Linked DNA regions of Danio rerio. The protein of the gene in region 1 purifies or fractionates together with the protein of each later gene. This does not show direct contact. Links are inferred from orthologs where the notes say so. Each region holds a gene or a part of one and is shown in the gene's direction. Other genes may lie near its edges.

Region 1 (3,967 bases):
TGCTGTCTAAAGGTAAACACTTTTTAAATCCCACCACTCTAGAGAAGGCTGTCCATGCTGTTATTACATCACGGTTAGACTACTGCAATGCACATTACTGTGGCATGTCAAAATCCCAGGTTTCTCGCCTTCAGTTGGTCCAAAATGCTGCTGCTAGATTTATTTGTAATAGCAGAAAACATGACCACATTCCCCCTCTTCTAAGAGGACCTCATTGGCTGCCTGTCCAATTCAGAATTGATTTAAAGTGCTTTTACTGGTAAATAAATCCCTCCATAATCTAGCCCCATCCCATCTCTCAGAGCTGCTTCATTTTTACACTCCCCTGAGATCTCTTATGTCAAGTGATCAGAATTTTCCTTTGGCGGGTCCTTGGTTGTGGAACACTTTGCCCCTTGAGATTAGAATGGCTCCACTATTATCCATTTTCAAATCACTTCTTAAAATATACATCCTTAGCTTGGCTTTTGAGATTATTTTAATTGTCCTTTCTACTGCTACATTTTACAGACGTTTCTCTAGCTTTATTTCTGTTTTTATATTCAGTCAGTCTTGTGACTGCTTTTAAATGTGCTCTATAAATAAATGAACTTGAACTTTATGAAATAAATTGTTTAATTGTAATGTGATTTTATTACTTTGTTTACAAGAAATAAATAGTGCACTAGGTTTATTATTTTAGTAACTTGAAAACGTACAGTATGAAATATTAAAGAAAAACATTTTAGAAATGAAATACAGCTAGTACATTAATTTCATAAAATTCATGAGCTAATTTCTAAACAGTAGAAGCTATGGATTTGAATCATATCCTGCAGTTGTTTTACTCTATTTAATTTTATCTATTTAATTTTTCTTTTAATATATATATATATTCATTTTAATCATGTATGTATTTTTTATTCAATAAAAATAATACATAATAGAAGCTAATAGTTAACAGCATCTGAAACGCTCTTTCGCCCTCACCAACATGGCGCCTCATTTACTCCGTTTTACGTAGCAGCCTTGAATTATGGGATATTTGTCATGTACTGCTACCAGATCAGTTACTACACAACACGACCATTCTAAACCCTCAAATCGTTTTAAATTCCAGCTGTTCCCAGATCAGAAGCAGACTGACGCCTCGCGTACACCGGAAGCACTAGTGGGTCTTCTCCCATTGTCAACAGTAAACTGTATACGTGAGTTTACTGATGAAAACTGCTTTATTCACCCTTTAAACAACATTGAAACCATCTGATAAATCGACTTATTCTCAGTAACACGTAGAATATATATATAAAACGCCAAAATGAACGTGACTCTTGCTGTGAAACAGTACATTTCCAAAATGATAGAGAGCAGCGGACCTGGGATGAAGGTGCTGCTGATGGACAAGGAGACGGTGAGTCAATTTAGGATATGCCACTGTGTTTTAAAGGCTTTAAAGATCAATAATAAAAGCGCACATATGTATGAACCACAGATAAACTAGTACTTTGTATAGTATAAATAGCGTTTGCTGACCTGTCATGTGTCAAACAACTGAACTTTAACTCTGAAGTAAATGGCAGTCAGCAGGCTAACGTTACATTGAGGTAAAGTTTATATTCGGACTTTCGCGTCCAATAAAATAGTGAAGCAGAATTTAAAAAGGTTAGGGTTAATACAGGTTGATTATAACGACGTACTGTTATGGACAATGATATGTAATCTCAAGGGGCGACACGGTGACTCAGTGGTTGCTGGGTCAGATGGCATTTCTGTGTGGAGTTTGCATGTTCTCCCCGTGTTGGTGTGGGTTTCCTCCGGGTGCTCTGGTTTCCCCACAGTCCAAACACATGCGCTATAGATTAAATAAATAAACTAAGTTGGCTGTGTGTGAATGTGATAGTGTATGGTAGTTTCCTAATACTGGGTTGCAGCTGGAAGCATATCCGCTGTGTAAAACATATACTGGATAAGTTAATGGTTCATTCCGCTGAATGAAGGGACTAAGCCGAAGTCGAATGAATAAATGTAAACTCAAAATAATAAATAATTCTGATAGTAAATTCTGAGGAAACAAATACTTCTGAATTTTTGTCACAATTTGTTTTTGTTTTCATCTCTCAAATAAGAAATGTTAAAAAGAAAAAATACATTTGCCTAAATTCTAAGAAAAAGTTAGAATTGTGAGATATCACAACAATAAAAGTTAACATATCGCTATCATTCCTTTTTTGCTACTTTTTTTTTCAGAATCAAGAGATGGAAACTACACTTAGGGTGCTTTCACACCTGTGAATTGATTCATTTGTTCAGAAACAGGGATTAAATTGTTACAGTGTTGCTCTTTGCTCTTGGAGCAGTTTGCTTTCACACTGCAAAGTTTAAATGGACCAAAATAGCTAAAACAAGTCATGTCCCTACTGAAAAAAAAAACAGTATAAACCAGCCTAAGCTGGTCAACCAAGCTGGTTTTAGAGGGGTGTTGGTCACTTCCATGCTGGTTTCCAAAATCACAATTTGCTCTTTATTTAATCTCGCTCCAAACCTGTAGACACCAGTACCAAACAGCATTGTTTATTTGTTTTCTAGACCAGTATAGTGAGCGTGGTCTACACACAGTCTGAGATCCTGCAGAAGGAAGTTTACCTTTTTGAGCGCATCGACTCACAAAACCGAGACAACATGAAGCATCTTAAGGCGATATGCTTTCTCCGCCCGACCAAGGTAGACCTGTTTTTAGTTTTATCATGGTCTTTGATTTAGACTAGACATGTCTAGATTATTTCATACTTCTATTATATAATATTTCACACCCTCTTTGATTTCAGGAGAACGTAGAGCACCTGATTCAAGAGCTTCGGCGGCCCAAATATAGTGTCTATTTCATCTGTGAGTGCAAGTAATTTACAGTTCAACACAAAAGCCATCCCATGAAGTATTTATTCTTTTTAAATGTTTCCCGAGTTATGTTTAATAGACAGATTTTTTTTCAACACTTTTTAAAATATAATTAATTTCTAATAATTTATTTATTTTGTCTTGACAGTACATACAATTTTGCTAGTTATTTAGCAAGATATAGTGTTTTGTTCTGTAGTCAAAAAAATGAGACATCTGTGACTCACCGGCCACTTTATTAGGTACACTGGTCCAACTGCTCGTTAACGCAATTTTCTAATCAGCCGATCACATGGCAGCAACTTTAATGCACTTAAGTATGTTACAAACAAGATATGCAGCAACATCTCTGAATGCACAACACGTCCAACTTTGAGGTGGATAAGCTACAACAGCAGAAGACCACACCAGGTGCCACTCCTGTCAGCTAAGAATTGGAAACTGAGGCTACAATTCACACAGGCTCACCAAAACTGGACAATAGAAGATTGGAAAAACGTTGCATGGTCTGATGAGTCTCGATTTTTTTATTTATTATTTTGCTGCGACATTCAGATGGTAGAGTCAGAATTTGGCATCAGCAACATCAAAGCATTGATCCATCCTGCCTCTTATGAATGATTCAGGCTGGTGTAGGTGGTGTAATGGTGTGGGGGATATTTTCTTGGCACACTTGGGCCCATTAGTACCAATTGAGCATCGTGTCAACACCACAGCCTACCAGATTATTGTTGCTGATCATGTTCATCCTTTTATGACCACAGTGTACCCTTCTTCTGATGGCTACTTCCAGCAAAATAACGCATCATGTCATAAAGCGTGAATCGTCTCAGACTGGTTTCTTAAACATGACAATGAGTTCACTGTACTCAAATGGCCTCCACAATCACTTGATCTCAATCCAATAGAGCACTTTTGGGATGTGGTGGAAAGTGAGATTTGCATTAGGGATGTGCAGCCGACAAACCTGCAGCAACTGTGTGATGCTATCATGCCAATATGGAGCAAAATCTCTGAGGAATATTTCCAGTACCTTGTTGAATCTCTGCCACGAAGGCTTAGCCAGTACTAGTAAGGTGTACCTAATAAAGTG
Region 2 (4,246 bases), on another chromosome or scaffold:
AGGGCTGCGCCCGGTCAGTACCTGGATGGGGGACCACATGGGGAAGCTAGGTTGTTGCCGGAAGTGGTGTTAGTGATGCCAGCAGGGGGCGCCCAACCTGTTGTCCGTGTGAGTCCTAATGCCCCAGTATAGTGAAGGGGACTCTATACTGCTCAGTGTGCGCCGTCTTTCAGATGAGACGTTAAACCGAGAAGTTAAACTCTCTGTGGTTGTTAAAAATCCCAGGATGTCCTTCAAAAAAGAGTAGCGGTTTAACCACAGTGTCCTGGCCAAATCTGCCCACTGGCCTCTGTCCATCATGGCCTCCAAATCATCCCCATATCATCTGTCTCCTCTCCACCTATCTGCTGGTGTGTGATATGCGGTCTGGCGCAATATGGCTGCCATCAGGTCATCCAGGTGGATGCTGCACTCTGGTGGTGGATGAGGATGTGTATGTTACCCCAATGTGTAAACCGCTTTGAGTGTCCAGAAAAGCGCTATATTAATGTCAAATGTCTTATTAGAAGTATATTTATTAATATACTTTTTTACTGTTTGATTAATCAGTGTCTTGAATGATGAATTAAATAAACATTTAACTATTTATTTATACATGAATTATTTTTTAATGCAACGCTTTATTTCTTTATTAAATGACCTTTAAAAACACAATTTAAATAAACACATTTAACTACGTCTATTTATTTGTCCATCATTTGCTCAATTATATTGGCATATTTTTTATACATTTCTATGCTTCAACTATTAAATTGATGAATTTATTATTTGTTTTATTTCTAAATGGCACTCCTGGTCCTCCATACCAATGATATCTATGACTGTTTCACAAATGTGCATTTAAAACAATTTGAATTAAATATGTGTCTGAGAAACTCATTACATTAATAATAATTAAATTAAACAAAAATTATATTGCTTAAACAGGACGTTTGCATACGGTTCAGGTTGGAGGGCAGTCTCAAATTTAAAGGGACAGTTCACCCACAAAATGAAAAGTAATTTACTAATAATAATTAACTCTATTATAATCAAATAATGTACTAATTGAAGATGTAGGTAATTTTTCGTCAATAGAATAAAAGTAATAGGGTTGTTGCTAGAAATGATACAGCTGCTGCCGCAGGTACACGATAGTTATTTATATTATTAATTTAATTACACAATAAATTGTGTTTTATTACCGCTAACCCTACCCTACCCCTAAAACCAGCCATCACAGTAATTTTAAAACAGTAATTATAACGATAATAATTTGTATTATTAAATAAATCACGCATTAAATTGTATTTTATCAGCGTCAACCCTACTCCAGCCGTCACAGTAATGTAAAAATATGTCGCAAAAAATATGCTATATATTGACGAGAGTATCTGCAGCTGTGTCTCATCTAGTAGAGGGGACTTTTATTTTGACACGACGCTCTGACGTGCGCGCGCGCTGTTCCTGTGATCACGCCTAGTGAACGGACAGTCACACGATCATCAGTATGATCTTCTGCGCTTTACTGTTCACGTAAAGCCTATTTAATATCGATATTTATCGCTATTTACTGCTAATTGCTTGATAAAGGGCTCAAAGCGGGTCTCCGATGAATAAGGTAGATAATTGTTCGTTTTTGGCATCTGTCAGTGTGCTTTAGCTGAGGCCTGTTCACAATCTGCTTGTTTACAATAGAGGACACACAATGTATTTGACTATTTCACTATTACTTAATACTATTTATTTATTCATCCAATGCAAGTATTTTAGGGTCATTTTAATAAAACATACTTCTTCTTTAGAACATAAAAGATTTGAAAACAACAGCGTTTAAATCCACACAATAATAGCAAGTTAGCATTAGTAAGAGAAGCAAAAACTAATCTCTTCAAAGAAATTGTCTTATGCTTTTTATAGAAAAATTATAATATACAGATAATATACATGTTTTACTGTATATACTGTTTACTATCTATACTGTTACTAATACTTTGACATGCAGACCACACTGGGTTGAGTAAATGATGACAGAATTATACTTTTCGTGTGAATTTGTAATTGTTTACAGCTTTAACATTCTTCAGATTTTTTAATATCCGTTGCTTATGTGTTATATTTGCGTCTCTTGTTATATTATGATGTTCATGGGAACCTATTCATTTCATTCAGTGTTCATGACCCTTCTAATAATACGACAACACAAAAACACATATGTTCATAGCATAGAGAGATTACTGATAATTAATGAACGAGTGAGTGAAAAAGCAGTGAAATATTGTAATCAAATAATTGTTAAATATAATGTTTTCCAACATCAGATGAAAACAATAAATAAAATGGACTTGTATAATATGCTATAGTGGAACTTCATCCAAAAGACTCAAACAGAAACTCTTATTTTATCATTATAAACGTTATCTTGTCGTTAATATACTTTTTAGATCTAAAGCAAATGTAGGCAGAGCTTGATTTTGTCAGCGGTTAATTGATTGGATGATTGTAGTTGGTTATTGGTGGATCTCATGTGAGTGACAGGTTGACTCCGCCCTCATGCCAATTAGCACCAATCACAAACGCCATTAAAAAGAGGAGTTTAAAGGGGTAGTTCACACAAAAATGAAATTTTACTCACTATTTACTCCTCCCCAAGTGTTTCCAAACCTTTATTAGTTTCTTTTTTCTGTTGAATACAAAAGAAGATATTTTGAAGAATGCTGAAAATTAAAACCATTGACTTCCACAGTACCACCAAATACTATAGAAGTCGATGGCTGTTTATTACTATACATATATTACTATATATATATAGCGAGGGGGATTGGTAAAATGAGGTGTCAGATCAGATTTTAGAGGTTCCAGATCCGGCGTGTATATATATATATATATATATATATATATATATATATATATATATATATATATATATATATATATGTGTATGTATATATATATATATATATATATATATATATATATATATATATATATATATGTGTATGTATATATATATGTGTATGTATATATATATGTGTATGTATATATATATATATATATATATATATATATATATATATATATATATATATATATATATATATATATATATATGGCTTAATTTGTGCTGGAACTATATATTTATTTATTTATTTATTTATTTTAATTAATTTAAAAATAAATTTAAGAAAAAAGTCAAAACTAGTTTTTAACAAGTAAAAGGTGATTAAATGATGACAGAATTGTCAGTTTTGGGTGAACTGTCCCTTTAAAGATTGCATTTAAGATAGCAAGATACATTTTACAATTTAACCAAAATTATATGCAAATATACTAAATACTAATGAGTCTTTATTTTTCCCTGACCTTAAAAGTGAACCAGAAATCTGTTTTATTGAAAGCATGAAATTGACATTTTTGTTATGAAGCATAATAGTGCAGGGCTTTTATACAAATACTTGAAGACAAAATGATTAGCCCTCCTGTGAAGTTTCAATTCTTTTAAATTCAGCATCTTTTCAAAGTAATGTTTACTTAAGGCGTAAATGAACAATAATAATGAAGTGTGGTCAGAAAACTGAGTTATATCCAAACACACGTCCTGTTCTTATGCCCCATATGCTGATGCAGACGTCTCCAAAACCCCACAGCTGGACACATCTACACTTGTGTTTATTAAAGCAAATATAAATATGCATATAATAAATAATACTGCTAATAATAGCAACAAATCACGTCATGCATGCCTTGTGCCTTATTGCATCAGGTCTATGGTGGGGACCTATATGTGTGTGTGTGTGTGTGTGTGTGTGTGTGTGTGTGTGTGTGTGTGTGTGTGTGTGTGTGTGTTTGTGTTTGTGTTTGTGTGTGTGTGTGTGTGTGTGTGTGTGTTTTTGTGACAACCTAGACGAAGCCTATGTAATGTCCCCACAATTCACAACTACAAATCAGTGTGTGTGTTACAGTGATGGAGAGGGAATGGATCGTCCTCTGCTGCTGTCCCAGCGCTGCTGCTGCTGCATAGACTCAGACTCTGCGCTTCAGTAGTTCTCTGTAGCCGATGGCCTCCATCTACTCACCGTCACTGGAGGACTCGGCGGAGGTGAAGGAGGGATTTCTGTGTCCGCTGTGTTTTAAAGATCTGCAGTCCTTCTACCAGCTGCAGGACCACTATGAGGAGGAGCACGCCGGAGACTCGCGGCACGTCGGCGGACAGCTCAAAAGTATGTCGCAATTAAGTCTGATTTGTGTTCCTTTTATTATATCAGCA

Evidence for each region.
Region 2: the proteins of vps45 (region 1) and rbsn purify together in Homo sapiens (affinity purification with mass spectrometry; 4 studies listed by BioGRID and IntAct, counting the BioPlex papers as one, with this or other methods). This does not show direct contact. The link is inferred for Danio rerio from reciprocal best matches to the Homo sapiens genes VPS45 and RBSN.

The regions. Positions count from the first base shown.
Region 1 is NC_133194.1:45,250,892-45,254,858, reverse strand, and holds the start of vps45 (vacuolar protein sorting-associated protein 45), read left to right. Parts: upstream 1-1,167; 5' UTR 1,168-1,297; coding exon 1,298-1,390; intron 1,391-2,565; coding exon 2,566-2,700; intron 2,701-2,804; coding exon 2,805-2,865; intron 2,866-3,967. UniProt on the Homo sapiens protein: May play a role in vesicle-mediated protein trafficking from the Golgi stack through the trans-Golgi network.
Region 2 is NC_133183.1:63,169,211-63,173,456, reverse strand, and holds the start of rbsn (rabenosyn-5), read left to right. Parts: upstream 1-1,437; 5' UTR 1,438-1,600; exon of another isoform or gene 1,601-1,633; intron 1,634-3,883; exon of another isoform or gene 3,884-3,941; 5' UTR 3,942-4,036; coding exon 4,037-4,199; intron 4,200-4,246. UniProt on the Homo sapiens protein: Rab4/Rab5 effector protein acting in early endocytic membrane fusion and membrane trafficking of recycling endosomes. Required for endosome fusion either homotypically or with clathrin coated vesicles.